Canis lupus familiaris: one gene and its partners. The protein of the gene in region 1 interacts with the protein of each later gene in a pairwise test. Links are inferred from orthologs where the notes say so. Each region holds a gene or a part of one and is shown in the gene's direction. Other genes may lie near its edges.

What was found.
Region 2: the proteins of DBNL (region 1) and SH3BP2 interact in binary tests that used the Homo sapiens proteins (3 or more experiments, as listed by UniProt). The link is inferred for Canis lupus familiaris from reciprocal best matches to the Homo sapiens genes DBNL and SH3BP2.
Region 3: the proteins of DBNL (region 1) and SH2D4A interact in binary tests that used the Homo sapiens proteins (3 or more experiments, as listed by UniProt). The two-hybrid records come from large-scale screens. The link is inferred for Canis lupus familiaris from reciprocal best matches to the Homo sapiens genes DBNL and SH2D4A.

The regions. Positions count from the first base shown.
Region 1 is NC_049237.1:14,464,421-14,474,524, reverse strand, and holds the end of DBNL (drebrin-like protein), read left to right. Parts: intron 1-1,138; coding exon 1,139-1,194; intron 1,195-2,107; coding exon 2,108-2,220; intron 2,221-2,590; exon of another isoform or gene 2,591-2,691; coding exon 2,692-2,766; exon of another isoform or gene 2,767-3,930; coding exon 3,931-4,077; exon of another isoform or gene 4,078-4,733; coding exon 4,734-4,811; exon of another isoform or gene 4,812-5,058; coding exon 5,059-5,210; exon of another isoform or gene 5,211-5,246; intron 5,247-5,290; coding exon 5,291-5,333; intron 5,334-5,564; coding exon 5,565-5,655; intron 5,656-6,114; coding exon 6,115-6,210; intron 6,211-6,316; coding exon 6,317-6,429; intron 6,430-6,663; coding exon 6,664-6,760; intron 6,761-7,111; coding exon 7,112-7,251; 3' UTR 7,252-8,165; downstream 8,166-10,104. Other genes in the region: PGAM2 (phosphoglycerate mutase 2), read right to left, coding at 8,871-9,037. UniProt on the Homo sapiens protein: Adapter protein that binds F-actin and DNM1, and thereby plays a role in receptor-mediated endocytosis.
Region 2 is NC_049224.1:61,997,402-62,008,007, reverse strand, and holds the start of SH3BP2 (SH3 domain-binding protein 2), read left to right. Parts: upstream 1-3,854; 5' UTR 3,855-4,003; coding exon 4,004-4,086; intron 4,087-6,158; exon of another isoform or gene 6,159-6,254; intron 6,255-9,282; exon of another isoform or gene 9,283-9,305; intron 9,306-10,606. UniProt on the Homo sapiens protein: Binds differentially to the SH3 domains of certain proteins of signal transduction pathways. Binds to phosphatidylinositols; linking the hemopoietic tyrosine kinase fes to the cytoplasmic membrane in a phosphorylation dependent mechanism.
Region 3 is NC_049237.1:22,914,630-22,924,733, forward strand, and holds part of SH2D4A (SH2 domain-containing protein 4A), read left to right. Parts: intron 1-2,072; coding exon 2,073-2,184; intron 2,185-3,866; coding exon 3,867-4,077; intron 4,078-6,797; coding exon 6,798-6,928; intron 6,929-7,223; coding exon of another isoform or gene 7,224-7,333; exon of another isoform or gene 7,334-7,349; intron 7,350-10,104. UniProt on the Homo sapiens protein: Inhibits estrogen-induced cell proliferation by competing with PLCG for binding to ESR1, blocking the effect of estrogen on PLCG and repressing estrogen-induced proliferation. May play a role in T-cell development and function.

The DNA.
Region 1 (10,104 bases):
GCCAGGACTCCGGCCCCCAGAGTCTGGACGTCCAGCACCTCCCATATTTTTTCCCTGTTGGCGTGTTCCTTCTAGTGTGTGTCTCCTCCTCGGAGGCCTGTCCCCCTGCCAGGCAGACCGGCTAGGCCTGGGGCTCCTTTCTTCCCACTTTCTGACACTCGGAGCTCTGCCTGGTGGCCTTAGCAAGGCCTTGGGGATGCTGAGTGGAGGCTGATTTCATTCCTATCAGATTCTTTTTTTTTTAAGGTTTTATTTTTAAGTGATATCTACACCCAACATGGGGCATAAAGCCACAACCCGAGATCAAGCGTCGCACGCTCCACCAACAGAGCCAACCAGGCGTCCCGGTTCCTATCACGCTCTTTACCCCGTGGCCCCTGTCTGGCCGGCCTGGGCAGGCCTGTGCTCAGAGCATGGGGGGATGACCCGCTAGTCCAGGTTCTGCCTCTGACCTGCTGTCTGCTGGGTCAGCACCCCACCCCCTCCACCCTCCGTCTGCCAGCGCCACCTGGAGCTGAACTGCGGCTATTGATGGTTGGGTCCTGTGTGGACTGTGGATAAGCCACCTCTTCCAGAAAGTTTTCCATGGGTCACCTCTGTGCTGGTCAAGCAACTTTCCATGCCCTAGACGTAATAAAATTTGCTGTATTTCCTGAACACCTCGGGCCCGGTTCATAGGCATGAATCTTTCCCAGAGTTCTTAGGTGCAGCCCAGGGTCACCTGTGAAGACTTAAGGCTCCTCCAGAAAGAGTTTTCCCAACCATGAAGTCTGTCCCATGAGGAGACTGACTTCGTGCTGAGTCATGGCCCATATGGCTTCTGGGTTTTCCAGGAGAGTCCCAAGCCCAGAGAGACCTGCTGCACCAACTCCTCAGGCTTTCGGGAGGCAGAGCACACAGGCACCAGGCTGTGGTGTTGGGTGTGTGTTGGGCTGCCTTCCCAGATGTCCAGTGTGCGCACTCCCATTTCCTGCCTCACCTGCTGGGGTGCTTTGGTTCCGGAAGGCATGGGAATTCTCTGTCTTCTCCAGTTCTCGTACCTGGGAGGCCCGTGGGGTCTGGTGGGGCCCATGTGGCTGTCACGCTCAGCTCCTGGCAGGTGTGGCAAAGGCCACAGAGCTTGTTTGTTTTGTTTCAGGGCTCTCTTTACCTATGAGGGTAACAGCAATGACATCCGTGTGGCTGGCACAGGGGGTGAGTATGTCCCAGTGAAGGCGGCGGGGGGCGGGTTGTACGCATTGGTGCTCCCTGGCAGCCTTGGCCATCACAGCTAATGCAAGGAGACTGCAGGCACAGAGGTGTCCCAGCACGTGGCGAGGCTGCTAGGACCGCTCCCCACCACAGTGTCGGTGTTGGAGCTACATGCAGCTCTGTTACTCAGCGAGTGCTCACCAGTACCTCCTCCACTGGCTGCTCAGTGGTTCTGACTGGGCTAGAAAACCTGCCTCTCACTCCCTGCTGGTCATCTGCTTAGAAGGAGGTCTCAGGCCCCTGTGTTTCTTGCCAGCACCCCAGGGGTACTCACAGGGCTCTGCTGTGAGAGCCCAGGGTAGGGGCTCAGCACTGCCCCAAGCCCGTAGGGGCCCTCCAGCTACATTACTCGATCCAGCTCCTTATAGCCTGGGTGGGTTTGGGGGTGCTGATAAGAACAGCTGAAGAGGGCCCACTCCTGTGCGCCCATCACTCCCTTATCTTTACGTGGAGGGTCTGAGAGCTGAGCCTGAGCACAACTGCAGACTGGTCCCATCTGCTCAGGGCCCTTTGTGGGGTCCAGGCAGCAGGAAGATGGTTGCAGAGACCCTCTGTTTGGAAGCTTCATGCCCACTTTGTTGCATGACTGTCAACATTTGTTGCATTTTTGTTTCTGAAGCTGTCTGGGTTTTATACTAATGGTTTTTAGGTTGGCATGTGGAACATCTCACCTGAGGTGCTTGTTACAGACACAGATCCTGTGCAGCAACTTAGTGGGGGCAGGATGAGGAGTCTGATTCTGCAGGCAGCACTGAGCCCTGGTTCCGAGGCAGATTGGATTTCCTCTCCTGGGGGGCACTGTGCCAGGGCAGGCAGCAGGTGTGGGACCCTCTGACCCTCCCTGTGCCCACTGCAGAGGGGGGCCTGGAGGAGATGGTGGAGGAGCTCAACAGCGGGAAGGTGATGTACGCCTTCTGCAGGGTGAAGGACCCCAACTCTGGCCTGCCCAAGTTTGTCCTCATCAACTGGGTATGTGGAACCCGGGGGCCTCTGAGTTCTCATCCAGGCGTGACCCCGAAAAGCTCCCTTTCCTGCTTTCCTCCTTTGCCTTCCGTGGTGGGAGCGGAGGAGGACCTGTCTTTGGGGCAGCTCAGAGGTGGTGGATGAAGTCCTTGTGCCCCAGACGACAGCGGGAGCACTGCTAGCCCAGAACCACTCCCACAACCAGCAGTACAGTTCAGGACACCCACACATTTGTCCCCTTCAGGGGGTCGTCCTGAGGGAGCGAAGGGCCTGGGGAGACCAGGAGGTTCTGAGGCAACCCCCCACCCCCACCAGTGGAAGCTGGCAGTCATCCTGCACTCAAGAACCTCCTTGACTTGAAGGATGTGGGGCTTACCGTATGGTCTGCTGTAGGGTCACAGTTGTCCCTCTGCTGGGTCCCTAGGGAGGCAGGGCGGTGGGAAGTTGGCAGGTCACGCCGGGTGTGTCATGTTGCAGACAGGCGAAGGTGTGAACGATGTGCGGAAGGGAGCGTGCGCCAACCACGTCAGCACCATGGCCAGCTTTCTGAAGGTGAGGGCTGCACCCTGAAGGCCTCACACAGGTCTCCAGGCTCCTGCGATCTTGGGCGGGCGTGAGCGCGAATCACAGCCAGAACCGGAAGTGGGTCCCACTCCCCGATGCTCTCTTTGGACTTGAGGACATGAGCAGAGGCTGCTGCGCTCCTGCTTGGCCAGCACCCAGAGGGCCATGCTGTGGCCAGAGCGACCAGCAAGCTGGTGTTAGCAGCGGGGAGGAACAGGCGATTGTCCTTTTCAAGCACAGGGAAGGCCAATCTGGAGCGAGGTCTTGGGTTCCGTTGGTTTTGTGAGGGTTTATTCAGCCGTGTTGTCAGGATTTGGAGGAGCAGGAAGGGTGCAGGTGCCCAGCCCCCTCAGCGGGCACATTTCCCTGTACCCTGTTTGTAGCCAACCTACGTGTGTATTTACATCAGTCCTCGCAGCGGAACCTCGTTTAGTTCCAGAAGCCTTTGTTGTTTGCTTGTCAGATAACCTGCATTTCTTTGGTTACTGGCAGAAAGATCTAGGACTTTGATTTCTAGTCTGCTGACGCTTTTTCAGACATGCCTCAGTTTCTCCATCTGGGAGCTGAAAGAGGATCCCAAGCTGTTGGATGTTTACCAGCAGGGAGTGAGGTCATGGGTCTGACTTCTCAATAAGAAATTGGTGCCTGAAAAAAAAAAAAAGAAAAGAAAAGAAATTGGTGCCTGGGGCGCCCAGCTGGCTCCGTGTGAGGAGTGAGCGACTCTCGATCTCAGGGTCCTGAGTTCAAGTCCCAGGTTGAGTGTAGAGATTACTTGAATAAATAAGACAAAAAAAAAAAAAAAGGAAGAAGAAATAAGTGGTTTGCTCTTTGCAGAAATTGCATTTCCAGATCCTTTTTTAAGTTGGCTTTTCGTTAATTTGTTGATTTCGTTAATCAGGACTATTTCCTGCCTGGGCCTCCAGCAGCGAACACACAGCCCTGGGGAATCAGCTTGGGAAGGGGCAAGGTGCTGGGGTGAGAACAGGCTCTCTGCCTCAAGGTAGTTTGTCGGTCTTGTGGAGAGCGTGCCTAGGGCCCCAGCAGGGTCTCCTGACCTCGAACCCCAGGCAGCAGTTGTCTGCGCTCTGCAGACTTGGGGCTGCGTCCTGTCCTCTCCTGGAGCTGCAACACCTAGGTGCTGTCCTGCTGCAGGGGGCGCATGTAACCATCAACGCGAGGGCTGAGGAGGACGTGGAGCCTGAGTGCATCATGCAGAAAGTGGCCAGGGCCTCAGGAGCCAACTATGCCTTCCACAAGGAGAGTGGTCGTTTCCAGGACATAGGCCCTCAGGCCCCAGTGGTGAGTGCTGCCCAGGGCCAAGCGTGTCTTATCCCTCAAGGGCTTCCGGTCCTGGAGGCAGATCTAGGTGCAGATGGTGAGCCTAGGCCAGAGAGAAGCCGGAGCTGCCTCCTAGTAGGCAGGTGCTAGTGGGCGTGAGGAGCAGCCCTCTACCCTGCCTGCTGGTTCCACTGGCTATTCTGGAGCCTCTTACACCTGTTTTGTGTGGTCAGAGGCTCTGCAGGACAGTCCAGCCTGTCCTGAACGGCCCTGGATGGTGGGCACCATGGGGGAGCTTTAAGTGCTGGATGGTCAGGCCCCTTCCAGCTGTGGGTAGACACCAGACATCCTGGTTATGGGGAGCCCAGTTCCCCGAAGCAGCGCTGCAGTCTGTGGAGTCTCCCTGGACACTGGCACGGTGACCAGCTGTCTGAGGCTAGTGGACCAGCTCCTAGAAGCAGCCAGCCTCAGAACCTCCTTGGCTTCTATCCATTGGGGCCTAGTGCAGCCAAAAACCCCCTTGGCATTGCCCAGTGGTTCCTGGGGCCTTCAGGCCATCTTGGTGAAGAGGCCCCGGGCCAGGTGTCACTGCCACTGCTAGGCACGGTCCCCACAACTATTGTTCACGTTCTGTGCTCCCGCAGACGGTCCTGTAGCGGATCCTCTGTCGTCCACAGGGCTCTGTGTACCAGAAGACCAACGCCATCTCTGAGATCAAAAGGGTCGGCAAAGACAGCTTCTGGGCCAAAGCAGAGGTGAGTGCTGTGCGGGTGCGTCGAGCACAGCCAGCCCTCAAGGAGATCATGCGTGCCAGGTGTCAGGGTGTCTTCCTTGCCGTCCCTGTGTTTCTCATGATAAAGAACACGTGTCCTCATTAGTGGCTGCGCTTGAGCACGCTTCTGCACAGGCCACACTTGCATGGGGTGGGGGGGCAGGAAGGGAGGCTCGCCTGCTTGCTGTGCAACTGCTGAGTGGGGCAGGCGGGGTCGGCTCTCCCTGCAGAAGGAGGAGGAGAATCGCAGGCTGGAAGAGAAGCGGCGGGCAGAGGAGGAGCGGCAGCGACTGGAGCAGGAGCGCCGGGAACGGGAGCTGCGGGAGGCAGCCCTCCGGGAGCAGCGCTATCAAGAGGCACAGGCCAGTGAGGGACCCCAGAGGTGAGGCCCCAGAGGGAGGGCAGAGGGAGGGTCTCACATGGGCTGCAGCTGGGCTGCAGCACCTCCCTCTGCTCCCCCAGCAGGAGTGAGCAGCAGGAAGTGGCTTCAAGGAACATAGAGCAGGTGAGATGTGGGTGCTCCCACCCTGAGGGGTCCCTGATATGCCGGGGCCCCAGCCCAGCAGGCCTAGGGAGGGGGCCGCTGAGAAGGTCCTGCAGCCAGCTGGGACCTGTGGGTACACAGGAGGTGGCAGTGGAGAGTGAAGGGCAGAAGCGGCCAGTGTGGACGAGGCCCGTGAGCCCCTCCCACATATCCGGGACCCCTCACCGCTGGGTCCACATGCACTCCCCACAGGAGCCGGTCAGTCAGCCAGCACACCCGCGGGAGATCTTTAAGCAGAAGGAGAGGGCCATGTCCACCACTTCTATCTCCAGCCCCCAGCCAGGTGAGTCTTCCCTCTGCACCTCACCGTGAGGTGGGGGCAGGCCGAGCGAGAGCCTAGGATCCCAGTGTGGGGCCCCCAGAGGTAGTGACACGTCAGACAGGCAAGTGAGCAAGGAGAGCTTGCACTCCTTAGAGTGGCTTCTGGAGGGGAGCCTGGGCCTCAGGTGTCCCTTTCCTGCCCATAGCCTCATCCTGCAGAGACCTGGAAAGCAAGGGCCATGTGTGGCTTCAGAGGGGAGACCCTCCAGCCCGGCCCTATTAACCCGTGGTGCAGCACGCACAACGCAGGACCACACTGCTGCCCTCTCCCACGCTGTGCCCTGGGTGTCTGAGGTGTGCACGCCGCTGGCGCTTCAGCTGCTGTGTGCCCCCCCATCCTCCTGTGCGACAGCCATTGTCCCACTGCAGGATGCAGATCTTCTCCTCCTCCAGTGCAGGTGCATTTACCTTTGGTTTGCAGGGAAGCTGCGGAGCCCCTTCCTGCAGAAACAGCTCACCCAGCCAGAGACCCATCGCAGCCCGGAGCCCACCCAGGCCTCCTCCAGGCCCAGGGCAGGCAAGGCATTTGGCCGCCCCTGGGGGGCTGGGGATGGGAAGTGGGAGGGAGGAAGGGTGTGCGATCCCCTTCCCGGGCTCAGAGTGGGCTGCATCCTCCTGTGCAGATATCCATGAGGAGCCCGTGTCCAGCGGTCCGCCATGTGTGGTGCAGGCGGAAGAGGAGGCTGTGTACGAGGAGCCCCCGGAGCAGGAGACTCTCTATGAGGAGCCCCCAGTGGTGAGTTCCCCACAGCAGGGCCTGGCTGTGAAGGGGTCACGTACCCAGAAATGCTCTCTCAGCCACGCTAGTCACGGGATGCCTGACTTTTCAGTAGCTCCCTACATGCGGATTATCTCGTGTAACTTGGGGCAGTCCCTTGCAGTACTGTGGGAGGTCATGGGGGGTGGGCAGCAGCAGCCAGTGAGCCTGTAACTAGGACCCCAGATTTCCCTTCTCTCCTTCGGGGGGCAGGTGCTGCAGCAGGATGCCGGTTCTGAGCATGTGGACTCCTACCCGGGGCTGCGCGGGAAGGGGCTGTGTGCCCGGGCCCTGTACGACTACCAGGCAGGTAACGTGCTGCGGTCAAGGGACCGCTACACTGTCAAGGGACAGGCTTCAGAGGCTCCTTCAGGGCGATAGAAAGGGGAGGGGAGGATGGGGTGGACGGCCCGCACAGCCCAGGCCTCCCCCTGGTGCTCTGGGCAGCCACCCAGCATGTGTTGGCGTGAATCCCAGGTGCCAGCATTGTGCTAGAGCCTGCAAGTGCAAGTGACCAGAGAGGTGGGTGACCTGGACACGGGGCCCCCAGTGGTCCTGGGTGGAGCCTCAGGAAACAGGCTGCTCGTGTGGAAGTGGGGGGCCCCAGGGGTAGTGGCCGGCACCCGACCACCAGCCCCAGTGCAGACTCCCCTTCCCACAGCCGACGACACTGAGATCTCCTTTGACCCCGAGAACCTCATCACAGGCATCGAGGTGATCGATGAGGGCTGGTGGCGTGGCTACGGGCCAGATGGCCACTTTGGCATGTTTCCTGCCAACTACGTGGAGCTCATTGAGTGAGGACCCTCCACTGCTGGCTGCAGCAAGGCCGTCCTTCCTTTCCCCACCCAGATGTGCTTTCCTTACTTCTGGGAGAGGTGGCGTGCCCGGCACAAGAGCCACACCGTGCTCCTCCAGGAATGGGACCCCCCCCCCCCCCGCCGCCAAACAAGACAAGCCCTTGGGCTCCCTCAGACTTGGGTGCTCAGCCTCTTGTCACCCTAGATGCAGCAATATCCTGTGATTCCCACACTTGGTCTCGCAGCTCCCAGGCTCTCCCAGCCTGGCCTTTGACCCCACAGAGGACATGGAGCCACACCCTGCCCATGGCCAGCCCTTCCGTGGCCTCTGCCTGAGGGGGACAGCACTGCCACGCCGGGCGGTCTGCGCAGGGGTATTTGCCTTTTCCTTTTCCTGGCTCTAAAGGGTGCTGACTACAGCTGTTAGCGAGGCTCAGCTTCAGTGAACTGAGAGTTTAGGACCAAAGTCTCAGTGGGTCGTGACAGTTTGGGCAGCAGTAGGTGATCTTTCCGGACCCTGCCCTGTGCTCCCAGTTCTGTCCCCCTGCCTGCGTGGCAGACAGTGAGCAGTGCGGACAGGATAAATAACTAAGCCCCGATCTGTGCATAGGATCAGCAAACGTGTCCTTCCATGTGGCACGCCCTCTTCTACTGGCCCTGGTGTGTGCGCTCCCCTGACTCTGCCTCAGAAACCAGAGCAGCCTGTGCCTGCTGTCTCACCCTGTCTGTCCTGGCCCATTCATGTCTGCTTTTGGAGTGAGCACTGCCCTCTTGTGACCCGAATACCCCCGTGTAGAAACCAATCCCTTCCCGGGTGTCTGGGGTGTGTGTGTGTGTGCACGCTGCGCCCTCGGACCTGGGGCCCACCGTGGTCTCCTGGGAGAGGCATAAAAGTAAAGATGTGACTGAAGTCCGCCTCTTGCATTTCAGTCTCCTGAATGCCATGGGGACCCTCTGCCCACACAGGGCAGCACTTGTATGCATCGAGTGAGGTGCCTGGCACCCCATGAATGTCAGCAGGGCCATTCCTTGTGTGCCCTGGCAGGTGCCAAGTGGAAGCACCTGGGCTGAAGGCCACTCTAAGATGACCACTGGGCCTGGATGCTGGCAGGTGGCCCATCTTGTTTCCTCCCCACCACCCCCAAGCTGTGGGGGTTTCAGGTCCCATGTTGCAGGCTTTGAGGCTGCTGTGGGCTTGTTCTCAGGAGGTGGTGCTTGGTACCCCTGCACCCTGCCCCTCACCCTGGGGCTGCAGGGACAGCAGAGGACACCCCATCTGGGGGTAACTGGCCATGGTTGCTGTCCCTGCTGCCTGGGCAGAGCTGGGTCACCCCAGGCACCCTGGTTCTAGATCAGGGTTACCAGGTGGCCATTCAGTTTTTGGCATCACCATAGAGGGCCTCTCAGAACTTACCTGATAGCGCAGATTGGGGACCAGACCCCTGCCCTTGGTTCCTGGGGCCCTCACACCTAATGGAGGTGGGCAGCAGGGGCCAAGCACCCTTGGGCCAGGTTTGTGGAACCCCAAGCTCAAAGCTTTGGGAGCTGGGCATGCTGGGGTCGGTCACATGGGACTCCAGGTGGTAGGAGGAGGTGCCTTTATTGCCAGAAGCCCACCCTTCACTTAGCCTTGCCCTGGGCGGCCACAGCCTCCATGGCCTTCCGCACGGTTTCCTCGTCACCCAGGAACCGCATAGGCTTGGTGGGCTTCAGCGCCTGGTCCAGCTCATACACGATGGGGATCCCCGTGGGTAGGTTCAGCTCCATGATGGCCTGGTCGGACATCCCTGGGCCGGGGAACACAGTCCTCAGTCTGCCAGGCAGCTGCCCGCCCTCACGTGAAGCAGGCCCTGTGACCTTTCTGGGCCACAGAGCCCAGTCCGCCAGGCAGCAGCCCTCCCGCCCCCAGCAGCTGGCCACAGTGCAGATGGGGCTGAAGAAGGTCCAGCCAGAAATGAGAGACCCAAGTGGCTTGCAGAAAGTTGTGGTAAACCAGGACCTCGTGCCCCCAAACTGGAGCCACTGGGACCTGGGCCCTCGGCTTGACATCAGTCTCTTCTGGCCAGATTGATGGATGTTGGGTATTTAGAGCTTCCTAAGTTCTGGCTATCCAGAGCAAGGGTGCTCCTGACAGCTGGTTGTGGAGGGGACACCGAGAAGGGCCTCCTGTGGCCAGGAGGGGAGGCCCTGTGGGTGGAAAGGGCACGGTTTCCTGGGGAAACCTGACCCTGCCTGCCTCCGCAGCCCCTGGCCTGGAATAGCAGCTCGACCTTTGCAGTTCCGACACCCCACCCCCCAGGTCTGCGGACAGTGGGAGACTGTCGCTGGCCTCTTTGCTTCTCTCCCAGACCTATCCCTGGAAGGGACGGCCACAAGGTGGTTGTGGGGAGGTGGACTGGGGCTGGCCAGGCCGTTGGCGGGGAGCCACCTGTCTGCTCTGGCCAGCAACCTGTCGACCCCTAGAGCAGGAGGTTTGGTGCTCCCCACCCTACCTGCCTCCTTCCACTTCCCACAGTCCCAACAAGTTGCAAGGCCTTTCCGATGCTTAGACTGTCCTGAGCATCTGTGCAATGTAGAGTGCGTTCACAGGAAGCCCGGAGGAGGAGTGTGCCGTGCTGGGAGGGTATAGTCCCCCACCCACCCCCCAGTGCTCCTTAGTGGGAACCCAGTGAGGGCCAGGGGTCAGGAATGCTCCACACCTGCACTCCAGGTTTCACTGGTCTTACCTTTGCCTGGTGTGGGTGTGAGCTGGGGTCCTAGGGATGGGCATAGGCAGTCCTGGGAGCAGTCCCGCCACCCCATAGAAGGTGCTTGAGCCCCAGCAAGTGAAGTGACTTGACCAGGGTCACACAAC
Region 2 (10,606 bases), on another chromosome or scaffold:
CCGGCTGCGGAATGTTTCCTGGAGGCAGAGATTGCTGGCCAGGGAGAGGAAGGCTCCAGGTGCTGTGGGCTGCTGTGACATCCAGGGACAGGGGTGCTGTGAGTCTTCCATGGGGACAGAGTTTGGGGTCCAAGTGTCCCAGAGTAGAAGCCCTGTCCCTGCCCCTGGTTTGGCCCAGAAGCCCAGGCCCACATGGGCCTCTTTCTGCACTTCCCTTAACTTCCTTTGTCCTTGGACACAGAGGTGGCGGAGCTGCTTCCTGCCTCTGCCCTGGGTAGCCCTGAGAAAGCCCTGGGAGGCTTCTAGCCCCCAGCACCCTACTATCTTTTTGGGGATGCTGGCAGGCTCCAGTGCCTTGATTTGTTCTTTGCAGTTAGCAATCTTGAATACCTGCTCAATGCCAGCTGGCTGCTCACTCCCCCAAGGAGAGTCCTGGGCCATGGGTGGGCCTTGGCTGTAGCCACCCTGAACATCAGTTCTTATCGACGGTCAGATTAGCTCTAAGTCACAATTCCTCACTGTGGCTCTGAGGGCCAGGCTAGGCATGTGCTAGTTACAGCCTAGACCATGTAGAGGGATGGTCATGTGTGCAGACATAACTCTGAACCCATCTGTCCATCCATCCATCTGTTTTTCGGGCCCTGCTGTGGACCAGGCACCAACCTGGCTGTGGAGATTTGGTGGGACCCAGGCTAATGGGGAGTGCTGGAGATTGCCTCTATCTCTTCATTTTTTAAGGACACTTGCCACTGCATTTCAGGCCCATCTGGCTAATCCAGAATGAGATCCTTACCTTAATGACATAGGCAAAGGTCCCTTTTCTGTATAAGGTCCCATGTATAATTCCTGGGGGCTAAGGCTTAGACATATCTCTTTGGGGACCCCCATGTAGCTCATGACACCAGGTGACCCCAGGCAGGGCCCTGCCTTCTACACTACCCACTCCCTCTGCCTAGTACCCTCCTGGCAGCCTTGTTCTGGAAGGCAGCTTCCAGCCCCAGGTGTGGAGAGAAGAGTGAGGCTCAGGGAGTAGGGGTCCTAGGGCTGGCTTTGGGCGGATGGACCCAGGCCCTGCAGGAGTGGCTGATATGAAACATCTTATTTTGAAAGCTTGAGGTTTCCCCCGGTATGGGCACCAGCCGCCCTTCCCTGAGCCCAGCAGGCCCTCCTTGGCAATTTTTGCACTTGCGCTGCCCCCAGAAGTGGCAGGCAGGCACCAGGTTGGGCACGAGGGCCCAGGGTGCCTGCAGGAGAGCTGCAGCTGGGGTTCCTAGGGACATGGTTCCATTCCTCACACCTCCATTCTCTGGCCGTCAGCCTGGCGAGCACCATCCTCTTGAATGGCAGTGTCCTCGTGGGAGGTGCAGGTGAAGCTAGCACCAGCTTCATGCGCTGTGAGCACAGATGTGAAGCCGACTCTGTGCCCAGCTACAGAGGTGGCACTGTGCTGGGGGTCGGCCTTGCTCCTGAGCAGGCTGAGACCCTGGGAACCCAGACTAAAAACTCTCCCTCTCTCTTTTTTTTCCAGGCCGACCCTTAGCCCCTGCCTGGCCCTGCTGGCCCCCTCCCACCCCCGCGGGTAAGTGCCCTACATCCAGTGTGGTGGAGTGGTTTCCATGCCTAGGACTTTGGGGCACCTGGTGTGCCATCATTTCCGTGGCTATTTCTACATACCGTAAAAGATGCTGTTATTGGAGAGGCTCTGTTTTCAGGAGTATAGATGGCAGTGTTATTTACTGCGAGGATTAAGGACCTCTCAGGAGATAGGAGGGCCCATGAAGAAACTGAGGCCAGGGAAGAGGAGTCTGCAGAGGTCACATAGCAGCCCAGGACTCCTGACCTCAGCCCCCATAGGAAACTCCAACTAGGGTTGGGGAAGGGGCCCACATTAGTCTGACCCCCACATTAGTCTGACCTCATTCATGCCCCTCCATCCACTTCAACTCTGCTGTGTTTAGGAGCTGGGGGGCCCTCCAGGGGGTGAGGGCGGGGGAGGCCCTGGCTGCTGCCTTGACCTCAGGCCTGCTTACCCATACTTCCATCTGTCCAGTGAGGGCTGTACATCCCAGGGAGAGCCATTGGCTCCTCATTCTTATCACGGCAGGTTCTCACCCCTACACCTGTCCCCCAGCCTTCCTGGGCCTCAGCCACCTTGCTGCCCCTGGATTCCTCCCCACCCTGGGATGGTGTCCTGAGCCCTGACCTGTGTTTGACTCCCTCACCCCAGCCCCTCTCAGCAAACTTCACCTCCTCTGTCAGACCTGCCCCCCTCCCAGGCCTCCCCTGACCTAGTGCCTGCTGGGCCTGACACCTTCTCTAGCCCCTTGAGGCCAAAGTGCCCAGCCCAGCGCTGCCCCCCTGGCTTGTCTTGGCTGGATCATGGCCCAGGGGCTCCTCACCCTGCTACTTTATCTCAACCCTCAGCATCCCTTGCACAGATGAAGAAATTAAGGCTTAGAGGGGCTAAGTAGGGTGAGGCCACACGGGTAGTACAGAAAGGAGGTAGGCCAAGTGTCCAGAGTGTGTCTTGCTCTGGGGTTCTCTGTCCACCCCAGGCAGGCTGCAAAGGGGAAGAAGAGGAAGAAGCCCCCCCCCCCCCCCAAAGCCTCCCTCTTGCTATGTAAGGTCTGTCTGTCCCAGCCATCTTTCTGCCAAAAGCATAGTCTGCCCTTGGCCACCAGAGGGCATTGAAGCTGGCACAGGCTTGGGGGGGGGGGCGGGGACAGGGGGGCCACGCTCAGCCTGAGGAGAGCTCAAACACGAAACCTAAACTCCCACCCTCCAAGAGACAGCAGGCGGTCTGTAACCCCAAACAGGCCTCCAGGTGGCTTAGGGCCTTGGCAGAGGTCTGGGGCTGTGATCAAAGTGGAGTTCCAGTGCCCCAACTACAAGAATGAGGGATGGCTAGGTGCCAGCATGGTCGATTGTGGGGGATGTGCCCCAGGAAACCTGCTGGACAAGATAACAACTCCCGGGGACCCTGTGCTCTGTGGCCTCTCTGACCCTCAGATCCTTCTGTACGGGTGGTCTTGGGGTGCTCCTTCCTTTGGCTTGCCCTGTCTTCTGTGGGAGAGGTAAGACCTTGAGGCCCAGGCTCAGGAGAGGAGGGCTAGGGGGTGTGGGGGCACCAAACAGCCTGGTCTTGAATCCTTGTTCCCCAACTTCTCGGCTGTGGGTCTAGGCAGGGGAGGAAGCCCTCCTTGGTGGGGCAGCATAGGCCTGGGAGGAGCCTGAGTGGGACCTGGGGCAGAGTCAAGCAGTGGCAGGAGCAAGCCTGGCATTGGCAGGGCCAGCAGGGAGTGGTGATCACAAGAGGTATGTAAGCCTGGCAGGTGCATGGGGGAGGCCTGTAGTAGATGAGGCGGGGGGGAAGGGAAATGCCTGGGCCTTGCCGGGAACCTGGTTCCTTGGTCCGTTGGTATGAAAGGGCAGAGAGGGAGGTAGTGAGCTCTCTGCCTGGGGTGGAAGCCTCAGCTTCTTGGTGTGGGGAGGGGGCTTCTGGAACCAAGGAGGGGAGTCTGAGAGCCCAGGCTGTGAAGGAGCTTTGGTGGTTTGCTGGGGAGAAGACAAGTATGCAGAAGTGGCCATGGAGTATGTGCGGTAGGGGACCTGCGGGGAGCTTCCTCCCTGGGGACCAGGACAGAGCCAGCCTTGCCCCTGGGCCTGGAGAGCTGTGGTTTCTGACCACAGGATGGGTTGGGAGGAGGGGTCGGCTAAAAACTCAGCAGACCTGACAGCACTAACAAAGGGTGCAGCTCTGGGCCTCGGTTTGGCCTTGGGACCTTGGATGACAGAAAGCAGGAAGTGCTGGCGAGCTGGGGCTGCCCAAGGACCCGGCAACAGGCAACAGGAAGTGTCAGTGGGGAGGAAGCCCTGGCGGCCACAGGCCCCAGATGCAGCAGGCGGCTGTCAGCGGGAGGGTGCTCAGAGCAATGCGGGGCCAGCAGGCCTTCCCTACCTGGGGGAGGCAGGCTGCAGATGTGCCCTGTGACCCCTGAGTCACATGGCCTCTCTGGGCCTCAGGAAGCCTGCCCCAAGCCCGTCAACAGACAAGAGGAGAGCCATGTGCTGGGTCAGTGCTATCAGGTCAGTGGGGCTGCCCTGGGACTGGGGACTCGGGAGGTGGCACTGGCCCAGTGTCTGCAGAACTGGCCGGGGAAGCTGAGCTCTGGACTCCAGAGTGATAAGCTTTGAGGAGAGCCCCAAGAGCCGAGTGGGGCACAGTGGGAACTCCACTGCCCCCCACCATGTGCTGCTCAGCCTGCATCTGGCTGAAGGTTGGGGTGCACCTTCCTATCGTATATGCTGCCGGGGGTGGGGGGGTGCTGGGCTTGCCGTTTGGGTCCTGTGAGCACACGCATTGAGTGAGCGTGTGAATATAGATGAGAGTGAGTGTGTGTGTGTGCCTGGGGACTGTGATTGGGGGTCTGGCACAGAGCTGAGGGGGTGAAGGGCTCTCCTTATAAAACCAGGTCATGCCCTTTCCCTCTGGTACTGCTGCTCACTGGCCTCCAGCCTCCGTAGGAGATTTTTGGTTTTGATTCTCTTATGGAGGAAGATTCTGGGAAGAGAAAGCAGGGGGGACCTGAAAGGGGAGAACAGATGGGCTCTGCGGCTGCTGGGGGCTGGCTAGGGGAGTGGCTGTGCCTGATGAGCCCCCCTCCCCCCCTGCACTGTTCCCTGGCTCTGTAACTCTGGGCAAGTTTTTCAGCCGCTCAGACCCTTTGGTGTCTTCATCAGTGGCGTGGGGATGATGCTGCTGGCTCACACGTCAGGGGATGTTGAGATGATAACATGGGAGATCCCCAAAAGGCAGAGCCTGTCCACTGGTGAGTGCCCAGTGTGCTTCTCCTAGGCCCACTGTTCTAGTCTGTGAAATGGGACTAAAGCACCAAGCCTCAAGTGGAACTTGGCCATGGGCACATGCGGGGCTGGAGGGTGGTCATGACGATTCTGACCTATGCTTGGGCTGTCAGCCCAGGGTACCGGGGGTACCCACAAAAGGTCTTGTGAGTCTCTGGAGGCTGTGTGTGTGTGTACATATGAGTGAGTGAATGAGTGTGTGTGTATATCAGTGTAAGCCCACAAGTACTTTGTGAGTATATAGTACACTCCAGTGTGTGTGAGAATGAGTGAGCATATGTACCATTGTGTATGTGCTTGTATATGATGAGTTGTATATGATGTGCTTGTATGGGGTGAGTGTGTGTGAGTGCAGTCAGGGACCCCTGGCCCCTCCTTGTCCTGCAGTTCCCATAAGGGGGCCGATCTGGTCACCACTGACAGGAACCCCTGACACTGTGGTCACTTGAGGCACCAGCTTCCTCACCACAGCCAGGGCTGTGTCTGCAGGTGTGAAAGAGGAGAGATGCAGGAGTTTGGCCTCCAGAGCCCCTGCTCACTCTCTTGCACAGTTTCACACCTGTGCACATGCATGCACATACACCGGTGTGCACACTGTAACCTGCACTTGCGCTGTGAGCTCTCTGAGCCCATGGTCTGTGGCACCAACCAGCTGGTAGAGCCTCAGCTCACTTGTGGGCCTGTGCTGGCAATGACCACATGCCTCTGGGCTCACAGCCCCATGGGGGGTGAGACCCACAAACCCTATACTTCATGGAACTCAATGGGGCCCGTCTCCGTGGAACAGCACTGTTCACCCATCTGCCCTGCACCTCAGGCCTTGGTCACCTAGACTAATCTCAACTTGAAGAGAAGGTCCAGGGTGAGTGAAGAGCAGAGGGCAGAGAGTGTGCCTGAGGTCTCTGTCTTCCCAGTGCACACTCGAACACACAAGATCTCATGCCTTCTGGAAGGGCTCCTGGAGCCCAGCAGCGACCACCATGCTGGCCACCTTGTGTCATCAGAATCCTGCCCCCAGACAGCCCCTCTGAGCTGTGGGGAACAGATCCCCCCCCAGCATGGAACCTAGTGCTGACACAGGGTGGCCTCAGTACCCTCCTCTGTAGAGCTAACGCCCTGAGGGGTGTTGGGGTGCTCTGAAGATTGGACTCTCTGTACCCACTTTAAATTAGAGGAAGTAGAGGCTCAGTGGAGGAAGGCCTGGTGGGATTTGAACCCGGGCTCCCTGACAGCTCCCACCCAGGGTGGCTCAGCGTGGTGTGAGGGAGCCCCCACTGCTGTGTCTACCCTTGCAGGAGAAGGGACAGAAGCTCCTTACTGCTGAGCCCATGGGATAAAGGAGTGGACTTTAACTACCAGGCTGCTGGCTGATACCATGAGCATAGAAGGAGGTAACCAGGAAGGCCAGGCTGGCCAGGAGTATGGGAGTTTCCTGGGGACTCCCCTAAATTTTCCCAGGCACCATGGAGCTGGAATCTTTGAGCTGGACTGAAGTCTCCAAAGCTGTCTAGTCACCTCAGTAACAATGGTCGTCATCACCCCTACCCACAAGCCACCATTTCCTTCCCTTTTCTGCTCCAGCCTGGCCTGGCACTTGGCCCCTGGTCCAGTGCCAAACCAGCTGACCCCCTGGTGCAGGGCAGAACCAGGTGCGGGGGGAAGCTTTGGGGACATCCGGGTGGGTTTCCCTCTGGGTGGTCCAACCTCTTGAGAGGAGATGAGGATGTTGGCATCTGTCCCTGAAGCAAGGACAATCCTGGGGGAGGTGAAGGTAGGGCGCAACCTAACTCTGTCACCACCCACCTCCCCACCCAAGGTCAGTCAGTGGCCGCCTAAGAGCCCTCATCCTGCCCACAGAGAGACTGTGGCCAGGCAAGAGCAAGGCTTTCACAGGCCTGTGCTGGCCTGGCCCCTGAGCTGAGCCGGAGGGGGGCTGTAGATTGCCTTATGACTCCTCTCCTCCAGCTTCCCCCACGTGTGGAGCCAGGTGAAATGGTGAGTTCCATGTGTCCTCACAGATGCTGCCCCTGCCCTAGCACACATGCCAGGTCTTCTTACAGATCAGAGACGATAGGTACACCAGAATGGGGGCTGTATTTTGGCATTCTGTGCCTTCCAGGCAATTGCAGTTGTTACCACCCTCCAGGGTCAACATTCTATGCTTCCTTTGGAGCCCCCTCTGTGCTGGGCCTGAGCTGGTGAGGATGGGGGATGGTGACATGCTAGTGTGGTCAGTGTTATGTGGAGGGAAAGTTGTGCTAGCCCCACAGAGGGACACAGGACACCCTAGAGGTCAGGGAAGCCCACCTGAAAGGGGGGACACTTGAACTAACTCTCATTTCACTTTTGGACTGTTCACTGCTAGTATGTAGAAGTAGGACTGGATTTTGTGTATTGATCTTATATCCTGCTAGTTCATTAACTAGTTCTAATAACTTTTTAGTGAGTTCCTTGATATGTATTATATACATAACCATGTAAGTTGTGAATAGTTTTACTTTTTCATTTAATCTGGATACTTTTTATTTTCTTTTTTCTTGTCTAATTACACTGGATAGCACCTCTGATACAGGTTGAATAGAAATGGCAAGAGCAGATGTCTTTGCCTTGTCCCTACTTTTAGGGGAAAGCTTGCTGTCTTTTACCTTTGAGTATGATGTTGGCTCTGGGTTTTTCATAAACAACTTTTACCATGTTGAGGAAGTTTTTTCCTATTCCTAGTTTGTTGAGTGTTGTTCTTATCATGAAAGATTGTCAGATTTTGACAAATACTTTTTCTGTGTCTGAGATAATCGTGCGGTTTTATCTTTTATTTGATTGATATGTTGTATGCGATCATTGAATTTTAAGTGTTACACTTGTATTCCTGGAATAAGTCTCACTTAGCATGGTGTAGAAGCCTTTTTACATGGTGCTGAATTCAGTTTGCTAGTATTTTGATGAACTGAGCCATGCAGGCACCCCTTGGTGAGGATTTTGATGTCTATAATCATAAGGGTTATTGGTCTGTAGTTTTCTTGTGATATCTTTGGTTTTGGTGTCAGGATAATGCTGGCCTTAGAAAGTGAGTTCCTTTCTCTTCTATTTTTTGGAGGAGTCAATGTTGGATTGGTGTTCATTTGAACCAACTCTTGGGGGCTGCGTTAGTGTGGTTGCAACTGCAAGCAGTGGAACCTGTGAACTGCAGCCTGGAGGTGGTGCTTGGTAGTTCTGGGTTTTGGATTTAGGATTCACAAGGTCTGGATGGCACAGATGCATGGGAGGTGGAGGGCAGGAAGAGATCCCCTGAGAAAGATCCATGGGGGCCAGATCTGGAAAGGCCAAGTGCACAGGAAGAGGCCCTGGAGATCTGGAAAAGTAGTGATGGGAATGGCATGTGTGGGTGGGGGGGAGCATGCTGCTGAGTGAGGATGATGGAGGGAGAGAATGGACGCAGGGGAGGGAACTGAGACAGGGTGGGAGTGGCTGCCCAGGCAGGATGGCTGGGAGGCGCAGGAGGACGGTGGCCTTGAGGGCAGAGTATGCTGCCAGGGGAGGGATTAGCAAGGGCACTAGGAACAGAGGCATACAGGTGGGACAGAGCCTCTTGCTGCAGTGGGAAGGGGCATGGACAGCCAGCCTCAAGTGAAGGATGGGAAACCAGGGCATGGTGCTCTGCACAGCTGGGTGGGAGCAGGGCCCAAGGTCCTCTAGCTACTGGCTGCCAGGACTGGCCCATCTCACCAGCAGCCTGTATGCAGGTGGGAGGTGGAGGCAGCAGAATGTCTGGGTGGCCCACAAGACCCTCACCAGCCTTAGGCCAGCCTGGGGGTCTCCTAGGAGAGAAGCCCACATCTACCCAAGAGGTGGGAGCTGCCACAGACTGGACCTCTGAGTCCTGCAGGGAATGCGGGGGTGGAGGCCCATGGTGGCAGAAGCTGAAGCCACCTGAGAGCGGGCAGGAGGACCCAGAGACCCACCGGGAGCCCCAGTGCCGACCAGCCAGACCCGCTTCACCGGCCACGGCCACGGCCACGACCCTGGCCACAACCCTGGGCGGCAGGCGGCCCTCACCCCCGCCCCCGCCCCGCCAAGAGGCAGCCGGGAGCCTGGCAGGCTTGGGCCAGCCTGGCCTCGCGGACGTCCGCCCCTGGGGAAACTGAGGCCCCGCGCGGGGTTGCGCGGGGCGGCGGGCGGAGCGCCGGATCCCCACTTGACGCGCCCTCGCCCCGCCCGCGCGCGAGGGGAGGAGCCGGGGGCCGCCGGGGGCGGAGCGGGGTCCGCGGGGCTGGGGGCGCGGCGGGGCGAAGGGGCGGCGGGGCGGGGCGCGGGGGCGGGGGGCGCGGCATGGCGGGCGCGGGGCGCGGGCGGCCGGGGTGGGGCGGCCGGGAGGCGGGCCCCGGGGGGCGCGGGCCGGAGCCGTGTCGCCGCGCGCAGGGAAGGCGGGCCGCCGCGTGGACGCCGTGAGTACCGAGCCCGCAGCGCCAGCCCCGCTTCCTGGGGGAACAAAGGCGGGCGTGGGCCGGCCGGGCGGGGCGCTGTCCCGGGGCAGCGGGCGGGGGTCTGCCCGAGCTCGGCTGGGGCTGGGGGCTGGGGGCCGGGGGCCGGGGGCCGGGCGGGGGACTGGTCTTGTCCGCCCGGAGCCGAGGGGCGCAGCTGCGGGCCCTGCGCAGAGGCCGGCGAGCAGCCCGGTGTCTGCAGGGGGTCTGCCGGCAGCCCTGTGGTTCTCTTTGTGTGTGTTGTGGGGAGTAGGGGGCTGCAGCGGCAGGAGTCCCCCCGGACTGGGCCTCTGGATTCATTGAGGACAGACACAGGCAGGGAGGAGGGTGTGCTGTTCAGAGGGACCAGCTTGGGGGAAGTCCTGAATAGGACTGGATATTGAGGTGCCTCGCAGGACAGGGGATTCCCAGCCTGCGTCTTGAAGGATAAATGAGTTCTCCATGTGAGGAGGGGTAGTGGTTGGTCATTCCAGCCAGAGGTCAGGGTGCGCAACGCCTTGGCATGTTTCAGGGAGAACAGCTAGGATGAGCAAAGGCTGGACAAGGCTGGGGGCTGGTGACCGAGAGACAGAGGATACCATCAACCCACCAGCTAGTCATTGTGGCCACTGCTGACAAGGGTGTCGTGTGTGCCAGGCTGTGTCCACTCTATCCTCCCTCTTGCAGCTCCAATAACTATGGCCTGGGGATCTTTCAGAAAGCTAAGCCAGAATGGGAACCAGGGACTCTTGGCTACCTGCTTTCCTGGTCTCAGGGCCTTAAGAAAGGGTTGGAAAGGGCAGCCCCAGTGGCGCAGCGGTTTAGCTTAGCGCTGCCTGCAGCCCAGGGCGTGATCCTGGAGACCTGGGATCGAGTCCCACGTCGGGCTCCCTGCATGGAGCCTGCTTCTCCCTCTGCCTGTGTCTCTGCCTCTCTCTCTCTCTCTCTCTCTCTCTCTGTCTCTATGAATAAATAAAGTAAAAAAAATCTTTAAAAAAAAAGAAAGGGATGGAAAGAAGCTGACTGAGGGCAGGCAGGAGTGGAGAGGGGCATTTAGAGGCCATGTCCCTCACCCCTTACACACTGAGGGTCAGAGATGATGGAGAGGATGCCATAGCCTGCCCACACCCCCGTACCTCTTTGTATTCATTAGGTTGTGACCCTAGTCACCTCCTGGAAGCCCTCCCTGGCAGCTCCATCAGAGGCTTACCTGGCATTCAGACTTGGGATGGTTATGGCCTCAGGCCTGACTTTACCTGAGCCAGTGGTTTCTTGAATTCACTCAC
Region 3 (10,104 bases), about 8.4 Mb from region 1:
AAACTGTCATTTTTAGGATGGAGAGCGAAGCATGGTCAGTCAGGCTTTTATACAACCTCTTAGCTTGTTTATCGAGGTGACCAAGGCTTTTATTTAGTTCACCAAGTGCTAAATTCTGTTTTCTAATAAGCACTCAAAAGGCAGTACCCAAATAAACAAAGTACTTTTTTTAAAAAAAGATTTTATTTATTTATTCATGAGAGACACAGAGAGAGAGAGAGGCAGAGACAGGCAGAGGGAGAAGCAGGCTCCATGCAGGAAGCCCAACATGGTACTTGATACCGGGTCTCCAGGATCATGACCTGGACTGAAGGCGGTGCTAAACCGCTGAGCCACCTGGGCTGCCCAACAAAGTACTTTTTAGGTCTAAGTGATCTGGTGTGTGTTTCTCTTTAGTTAAAAACTAGTTCCTTTAATGCCACGGAGCTGTTCACTTCAAAATGGCTAACACAGTAATTTTTATGTTATGTATGTTTTACAATAAAAAAAGCATATTTCCTTTTAAAGGAGGACTTGTGTTTCTTATTTTATATTTTCTCAAAGAGGATGTTTAGTAAAAAAAATATATATATATATATTATATATATAGTAAACAAAATATTCCTTTTTGGGTCATCAAAAATGTGTAAGTACCACATTTTAAGATAATTTTTAAAAAAGATTTTATTTATTTTGAGAGAGAGAGAGAGAGAGAGAGAGAGGACAAACAGGCAAACAGGGGTTGGGAGTGTAGATGGAAAGGGAGCAGCCGGCTCCCCGCAGGGAGCCCGTGGGAATGGATCCCAGGACCTGGGAATCATGACCTGAGCCGCAGGCAGACGCCCAACCACTGAGCCCCCAGGTGCCCCTAGCACCACATATTTAGACACACTGGTTTGAGGGCACATGGAGATACAGCTGAGACTGCTCTAGAAATGTACTGTTATTTTATGGAGCTGGTCAGATACTGCAGTGTTCACACACTGCCTCAGGGAATTCAACTGAAACCTGGTAAGTGCTGTTGAAACGGGAGAGCTGGGTTCTCGTGCGGACAACAGAGCCAGCAAAGCGACAGATGTTTATTAACCAGAGATACAGAGGAAGCTCTAGGAGTGAGAGGGGTCCTGACAGGGTTGCTGAGGGTTTGTAGGGTCTGTCTGTTATAGGAACCTTACCAGGGGACTTGGTACATTGCATGTCACTATCAGGGTGGCTCTTCGGAACAAACATGGCGGACTTGTAACCATCAGAGTGACAAACAAGATGGTTTTATGAATATCATGAGCCCAAACAAGGTGTTCCCTTTTCTCAGGTTAACATCTCCATAACATTTCTCTACATCTGGGATTTCTGCAGCCTAATCAGGGAGCCCACGGCCTTGAGATTCTTGTGTGGTCTTGGTTTGAGCAGGGACTATCGATAACACCTTAATGACATGTTTCTGTGATTACTTAGTAGCCATTAAAGGGGGGAGACTCCCTAACATTTTGGAGTTAGGGAGCCAAGTTTATTTTTTTATGTTTTTACTGTTTTATCTCTGTTTTCTCGGGATGGGTAGGAGCCTGACTCTGGGGCTTTTCCCTTATCATTCCCTGCCTAGCCCTATCTGCCTCTAAGTCATTCCTACATCACTGTGTTTGAGAAAAATGGATATTTATTGGGTCATATACTGTGACTCATATACTATGTGTTTCATATACTATGGAAGATACTTTTAAAATATTATTTAACCCTCACTATAACCTTATGAAATATTCTAAATTTTCTAATTCTGCTAAGGCAAAGACAGCCTAAAAGAGGTTTGGTAATGGTCCCTAAGGTGCTATAGCTAGGTCATGACTGAGTCAGCCTCAGGTATCACCGACTCCAAGCTTTTCCTGCAACAACAAACTGCCCAGTCAGGGGCCAATGGGAGTCACAATGAAACTAGGCCCCTCAGTGCCCCTGGCCCCTCTGCCTCCTCCCCCTCCCCCCACCTCCCCCTTCCTCCTCCCTCCACCACTTCCTCCCCTGCCTCTAATCCCTCCTCGCAGAAAACTGCCAGAGTTAATCACTGGTGTTTGTTTCTGGTTTTTATTTTTTCTTTTAAACAGAAGAAAGAATCCATGAAGAAAACACAAGATGAAGAACTAAAACAAATAGACGAGGAGAAAACCAAGCAGATTTATAAAAGCTGGAAAGAAGATTCGGAGTGGCAGGCGTCTCGTGAGTACCCAGAGGCCTCTGTAACACCTTAGACCCGCCAGGCCAATTCCTTCTCTTAACAAATGATCAATCCAGGAAGCACTTAAAATGGTTGTTGAGAGAATTATTACCAAGTTGTTACATAAAGGCTTACGAGTCACTTCTTGAATAGTAGGAAGTTTCTCCATTGTCTTTGTGCCATCACAGCTGTGGTATAGTAAGTCTGTTTGATGGAACGGTATATAGCTCTGAAAAACCATGTTTTGGAAATGTTTAAGGACCTTAGGATATGTTTATAAATTGTTTTTCACTTGAAGAAAAAAAATTATAAAATAGTATGAAAAACATCCCCTATTTTAAAATGCCTTGGTATGTGAAGTAAAAGAACTAGAAAGTTATTAACATGTTAATTTTTTTGGAGACATGATATTTCAGATTTGTTTTAATTCTTCTTGTTATTCTTTACTTTTCTAAATTTTCATAGCGAACTCATCTTAACTTTGTAAGAGAAGAACCAGGAATAACCGATTGAATATATCAGCATCTGTCCCATGCCTGTGACCTGACCCTGACTCCTTTTTGAGTTAGCGCTGCTGGAGATGACCCTCCTCAGGAGGAGGTGGGGTGGGCTAAGGCAGAGCAGAATGCACTCAGGGATGCTAGGAGACAATGCAGGTTTGAAATACCAGTAGGGTTTCCAGGTGACTCAGAAAGAGCTTTACCAGCCGGGTCATCCGTTGGGGCCATTTAAGGGAGAGAACGAGAGTGAGAATGTTTGCAGGATGTGGAGCATCCTGTCTTCAGTTTCATTAGTGAACACCATGAACAGGACAGTTTTTGTGAAATGAAAATATTTGCAAGATCCAATCACTTCTATGCAGTGAAATTCTAGTGTAATGGAACATTTTTGGCATCTATTTGAAATGAGACTTAACAGGGCTTGACCAAGAATGCCCGAAGCGCAAATACACTCAATAAAAATTAGTCTTAACATCCTGCATTATAGCCCTTTACTGCCGTGTTGCTAAAACAAACACAAAACAAAACAATAAGCCCTCTGTTATACAAAGCAACATTAGAAGGTGGCCTTGAGGTGCTTTTATGTGTACCAGCACGTTCTCTGATTGCCGTGAGAACCATTGTAGTGTTTCCCTGGCAGGCCAGTTCACAGTTGGCTCAGCTCTGGGGGGGCCTCTGAGTGTGATCTTTGGCACGACTGGCCCACCTGTCACCCTGTCCACAGCCATGAGCGACTGCACCAGGAGCTGCCGACAGCTGGTCTCCGCTAGTGACTCGAGCTGAGGGCGTCAGGGATGTGACATCACCTCTTGGTCAAAGGCTCTGGGCCAGTTGGAATTCGCACTCGGGCTATGACTCATCCCTTGGTCTTGCCAAGTGCAGGAAATTGTCCAACAGGTGGTTCTCCAGTTCTATCTCCTCCCTTCCTCATCCTCCTTCTCCCCCTTAGGAAGCCCTCCCCCCACTGCCATTGCCACCACCACCCCACTGCCACCGCCACCCTTAGAAAGACAGGGATTGTGCGGCAGGCTGGGCAGTTGTGGCTGCACAGGCCCGAGCTGTGTGAGCCGGAGGTGATGACAGCGACGGTCTGTTATCAGCAGGTGACAGCATCTCCTGAGGGACTGCTCCCTTCACCAGCAGATCCTTCTCACCATCTTCTTCTCAAATCCCCGTTTTCCTAGTGCGAAAATCCAAAGCAGCTGACGAGAAGAGACGCTCTTTGGCGAAACAGGCGCGGGAGGACTACAAGAGGCTGTCCCTGGCGGCGGACAGGGTAGGGAGCGGAGGGGGGCAGCACGGCGCCCCAGCTGCTCCGCAGAGACCCAGGAGACCCCCCCTTCCACCCAAGCCGCAGTTCCTGCACCCAGCGGGGTCCCCTCGGCAGCCTCTCAGGTAGGAAGCCACATAGACGGCTTGCAGCGCAGGCAAAGGGCAGGCTGCCGGGGTGGGGGTGGGGGTGGGGGCGGGGGGGCGCGGCCGCAGCGCGGAGCCCAGCTCTCCTCCACTTAGCCAGTCGCCCCAAGGTCCCCGCGCCGGATGCACCCCCTTGTCGTCTGGAAAATACCCACCGTTGTCATAATTAAGATAGACAGTGATTAAGGATGAACACGGAGTTGGTGCCTCCGCGCCCCACCAGCGCCCCCACCAGTCCCCCACCAGCGCCCCCACCGGCACCCCGCCAGCCCCGCACCAGTGCCCACAACAGCGCCCCCACCAGAGCCCACACCGGCGCCCCACCAGTGCCCCCACTGGCCCCGCACCAGCCCCGCACCAGCGCCCCCACCAGCGCCCCCACCAGTCTCCCACCAGCGCCCCCACCCGCGCCCCACCGGCCCCCCATCAGCTCCCTACGGTGGCCACTGAGGGGGAAGCAGAATGGGTTTCGGTCAGGACTCAGCATCACCCTTAGCCCGCGCGGTGCCAAAGCAGGAAGCGGGGCTTGCTGCGGTTCAGGGCATCATAGAGTCGTTCTCCTTCCTCCGGGTTAAAGGTTTGGTCCCTCCTTTCGGGCTACAGAGTCGAGCTCCTACACTGAGAATCTGGAACTGTTCCTCTTTGGAATGAGTACTGTTTTGGTCACGATGGTGCCTTTGCCCCCTAGGCTGTAGAAAATTGCGTAGAACAGTTTGTTCTGTAAAATCCCTGAAGAAAAATAACGATGACATCATAGCAGAAACCCCCTTTCCCTTGTGTTAGTTAACTGATTATAAAATTATTGTCTCCTGGATATCATATGATTGTTTTCATATTCTAATACGCAGAAAGACAGTATTTACATACCAGAGAAATCAAATAGCAATTGAATGAAACAGAACTGTCTCAAGTCTCACCTTCTGAAATAAAAAGCAGAAAGACTTCTCTGTTGCAAGTATGGAGAAATTAAAAGCAAAGAAATCTCTCTTTGCTTGGAGTCAGTAGTGATCTTCAAGGCTTTTCCTAACGGGGATTATGACCTCAGAGGAAACAGGAAGGTAGAGGTTTTTTCTATGACAATGATTTCTACTTACTCAACTGAAAGGTTCCATTTTTGGATGTGGGTACCAGGACCAGAAGATCATGTTCTATACGGGGACAGTGTGGAGAATGATTTTTTTTTTCTTATGTACAAAAACCCAAGAAAAGTAATAAAAAAAAAAAAAACTGGGATCCTGGCCATTTTGTGGCCAAGTCACAAAAGTGTGAATCCGTGCTCAGGGCCCTCTCGAGTGCTCCCAGCTGGTCAGGGTGTCGTCCACCCCCCGCAGGGCTGCGTGTGTACCCACCCCTGCCCTCCCAGTTCTTCCAAGGGTGTGACTGTCATTCATAGTCATTCATAGTGTGCCCTGGCCCACGGTACTGTTCGTGCCCTGGGTATGTGATGGACAGCAGGAAGGTGGCCTTTAATAAGAGCCGTTCTTCTTTTGAGCTGTGCTCACTGAGCTGTTTTTCCAACTTCACAGACTTGCACGAAATGCTTCTTGTGAGGCAGCCACACAGGATGGTTTGGGGGCTGGGACCACATCACATCACATCAGCGAGGAGCCAGGCTGAGAAAAGACAGAGATTGGCTGTCCTTAGAGTTTTTGCTTAACCTCCAAAGACTTCCCAAAGAAAAAGAACCTAATTTGAAAGCTGGTAACAGCACTCATCGTGTAATCTCACGTGCGTGCAGTATCTGGTTTCCCCAGTATAGGCTATCTTCTCCAAAATACTATGTGGTATGTAACTGGATGCGTGCATGCATACATGTACATCTGAAATACATGTCACATGCAATTCGTGGAGACGTGTGTTACCATAAAATGCAGAAAGAGCCATAAGTTAATTTACATGACAGGCATCCCAGAAGTTCATCCAAACTCATCGTTTTTACACTGAATTCTGCTCAAAATGAGTAGGCTGTTGTGAGAGACTTGGAAATATGTTTATTACATTGCAAAGTTACTTTTTGTGATGGAAATTGACTTACATCCCAGAACTTAAGTTCTGCTACTGAATATATTTCAAGATGATTCTGCCACTTGTATCTTTTTCTTACCAATCTTCAAACACTCTTCTTTCTTTGACTTTATATTTCTGAGACTGTCTTTAAGCAGAACCAAACCTCTTCGAAGTACAGGAGGAAGAAAGCAAGTCAGGGAGTTGGAAACAAAAGAGAAAGTTTAATACTGAAACTGTTAAAGAAAATTATTTTTTTGCATTTCTTTGGTTTGTGAGAGCATGTTCCCAAGGAAAATAGCGCTGGGGGTGTATTTCACTTTTTAATAGTTATTTTCTCAAATTTTAATTGGAAGTTAATGGACCTTTAATTCATATTAAAAATGAATTAATATCTATGTATTAACAGCAGTAGCTCATACCCATGACTAGTCCGATAGGACTGGAAGGACAAGGTGACAGATATATGTTCCTTCCTATTTTTTTTGAGCAGCCCTTGAGGACTTAGTTGTATAATGGCAGTAATTAGAGATCCAACTTCCCATTAGCCCAGCCCATGTAATCCGATGTTCAGACATATAGGATGCTCTTTCCTCTTATACATGATCTATATATACAGGATAAATATGATTTTCGAAGGCATTGTTTTCAAATTAGTTAAATCTAACTTGAAAAAAACGTTTTCTGAATAACAGAACCCAGGGAGTGACAAGGACGGCATCGAGCTCTTCCCAGGAGGACATCATTCGGTGGTTCAAAGAGGAGCAGCTACCTCTGCGAGCAGGCTACCAGAAGGCCTCAGACACTATAGCGCCCTGGTTCCACGGTGAGTACATGGGTTCCTTTGAAGGAACCTCATCTGACGCTGGAGGGTGCTATGCTTGCCCACCAAGAGGGCAGAAGGAAGAAAGGCTTCCTTTTACTTGTGCTGCCCAAAAAGAATCTTTGAAATTATTTTCACAAAGCAGTTTTTCAAAGGTTTCTCAGTGAGTTGCTAGCTCATGATGAAATTTGAAAACAGTGAGCAGTTGTAGTCTCTGCATGTATAGGTAATTTGTCACCACAAATAAAACACCACTGGGTGGGTGGGGAAAGCAGTGCCTCCTATGCATCTCTACTAGGGCACTGGATTGTGATTTCCTTCAAACAGCAATGCCTTTCATCCACCATCCACCATCCACTGGAAGAGAGTCATACATGCCCTGTATATGATGTGCAGAGCATCTGGTGAGCAGTCAAAACATCAGCTCTCCATTGACAGGTGAATGACTGAGCAAATCAGCTTTCTCTGTAGCAAGTCAAGTTATCTGAGCTGCATTTTCCTCACTATTAAATGAAGGAGTTGAACTTTATGATTTTTAACCTGAAAATTCTGTTACTTTTTTTGTATATTTTTTATTGGAGTTTGATTTGGCAACATATAACATAACACCCAGTGCTCACCCCGTCAAGTGCCCCTGTCAGTGCCCATCACTCAGTCACCCCAATCCCTATCCCACCTCCCTTTCCGCCACCCCTTTTTCGAAGCCCAGAGTTAGGAGTCTCTCATGTTTGTCACCCTCACTGATATTTCCCACTCATTTTATCTCCTTTCCCCTTTATTCCCTCTCGCTATTTTTTTATATTCCCCAAATGAATGAGACCATATAGTGTTTGTCCTTCTCCGATTGACTTACTTCACTTAGCATAATACTCTCTAGTTCCATCCACATTGAAGCAAATGGTGGGTATCTGTCATTTCTAATGGCTGAGTAATATTCCATTGTATACAAAGACCACATCTTCTTTATCCATTCATCTTTCAATGGACACCAAGGCTCCTTCCACAGTTTGACTATTGTGGACATTGCTGCTATAAACATTGGGGTGCAGGTGTCTCAGTTTTTCAATGCATCTGTATCTTTGGGGTAAATCCCCAGCAGTGCAATGCTGGGTCACTGAGTAGTTCTATTTGTAACTCTTTGAGGAACCTCCACACCATTTTCCAGAGTGGCAGTACCAGTTTACATTCCCACCAACAGAGCAACAGGGTTCCCCTTTCTCCTCATCCTCTCCCACATTGTTGTTCCCTATCTTATTAATTTTCCCCATTCTCACTGGTGTGAGGTGGTGTCTCATTGTGCTTTTGATTTGTATTTCCCTGATGGCAAGTGATGCAGAGCATTTTCTCATGTGCTTATTGGCCATGTGTATGTCTTCCTCTGTGAAATTTCTGTTCATGTCTTTTGCATATTTCATGATTGGATTGTTTCTTTGCTGTTGAGTTTAATAAGTTCGTTATAGATCTTGGATACTAGCCCTTTATCTGATAGGTCATTTGCAAATATCTTCTCCCATTTTGTAGGTTGTCTTTTAGTTTTGTTGACTGTTTCTTTTGCTGTGCAGAAGCTTTTTATCTTGATGAAGTCCCAAGAATTCATTTTTGCTTTTGTTTCCCTTGCCTTCATGGATGTATCTTGCAAGAAGTTGCTGTGGCCAAGTTCAAAAAGGGTGTTGCCTGAGTTCTCCTCTAGGATTTTGATGGAATCTTGTCTCACAATTTGATCTTTCATCCATTTTGAGTGTATCTTTGTGTATGGTGTAAGAGAATGGTCCAGTTTCATTCTTCTGCACGTGGCTGTACAATTTTCCCACCACCATTTATTGAAGAGACTATCCTTTTTCCAGTGGATAGTCTTTCCTGCTTTGTTGAATATTAGTTGACCATAGAGTTGAGGGCTCATTTCTGGGTTCTCTATTCTGTTCCATTGATCTATGTGTCTGTTTTTGTGCCAGTACCACACTGTCTTGATGACCACAGCTTTGTAATACAGTTTGAAGTCTGGCCCCCAGCTATGGTTTTCTTTTTCAATATTCCCCTGGCTATTCAGGGTCTTTTCTGATTCCACACAAATCTTAAGATGATTTGTTCCAACTCTATGAAGAAAGTCCATGGTATTTTGATAGGGATTGCATTAAATGTGTAAATTGCCCTGGGTAGCATTGACATTTTCACAATATTAATTCTTCAACCCATGAGCATGGAATGTTTTTCCATCTCTTTGTGTCTTCCTCAATTTCTTTCAGAAGCGTTCTGTAGTTTTTAGGGTATAGATCCTTTACCTCTTTGGTTAGGTTTATTCCTAGGTATCTCATGCTTTTGGGTGCACTTGTAAATGGGATTGTCTCCTTAATTTCTCTTTCTTCAGTCTCATTGTTAGTGTATAGAAAAGCCTCTGATTTCTGGGCATTGATTTTGTATCCTGCCACGCTACCAAATTGCTGTATGAGTTCTAGCAATCTTGGGGTGGAGTCTTTTGGGTTTTCTAGGTACAGTATCATGTCATCTGCAAAGACGGAGAGTTTGACTTCTTCTTTGCGAATTTGAATGCCTTTTATTTCTTTTTGTTGCCTGATTGCTGAGGCTAGGACTTCTAATATTATGTTGAATAGCAGTGGTGAGTGGACATTCCTGTCGTGGTCCCGATCTTAGGGGAAAGGTTCCCGGTGTTTCCCCATTGATAATGATATTTAGGGCTTTTCGTAGATGGCTTTTAAGATGTTGAGGAATGTTCCCTCTATCCCTACACTCTGAAGAGTTTTGATCAGGAATGGATGCTGTATTTTGTCAAATGCTTTCTCTGCATTATTGAGAGGATCATATGGTTCTTGGTTTTTCTCTTGTTGATATGATCTATCACATTGATTGCTTTACCAGTGTTGAACCAGCCTTGCATCCCAGGGATAAATCCCACTTGGTCATGGTGAATAATCTTCTTAATGTACTGTCAGATCCTATTGGCTAGTATCTTGTTGAGAATTTTTGCATCTCTGTTCATCAGCGATATTGGTCTATAATTCTCCTTTTTGGTGGGGTCTTTGTCTGGTTTTGGAATTAAGGTGATGCTGGCCTCATAGAATGAGTTTGGAAGTATTCCATCCCTTTCTATTTTTGGAACAGCTTTAGTAGAATAGGTATTGTTTCTTCTTTAAACGTTTAATAGAATTCCCCTGGGAAGCAAT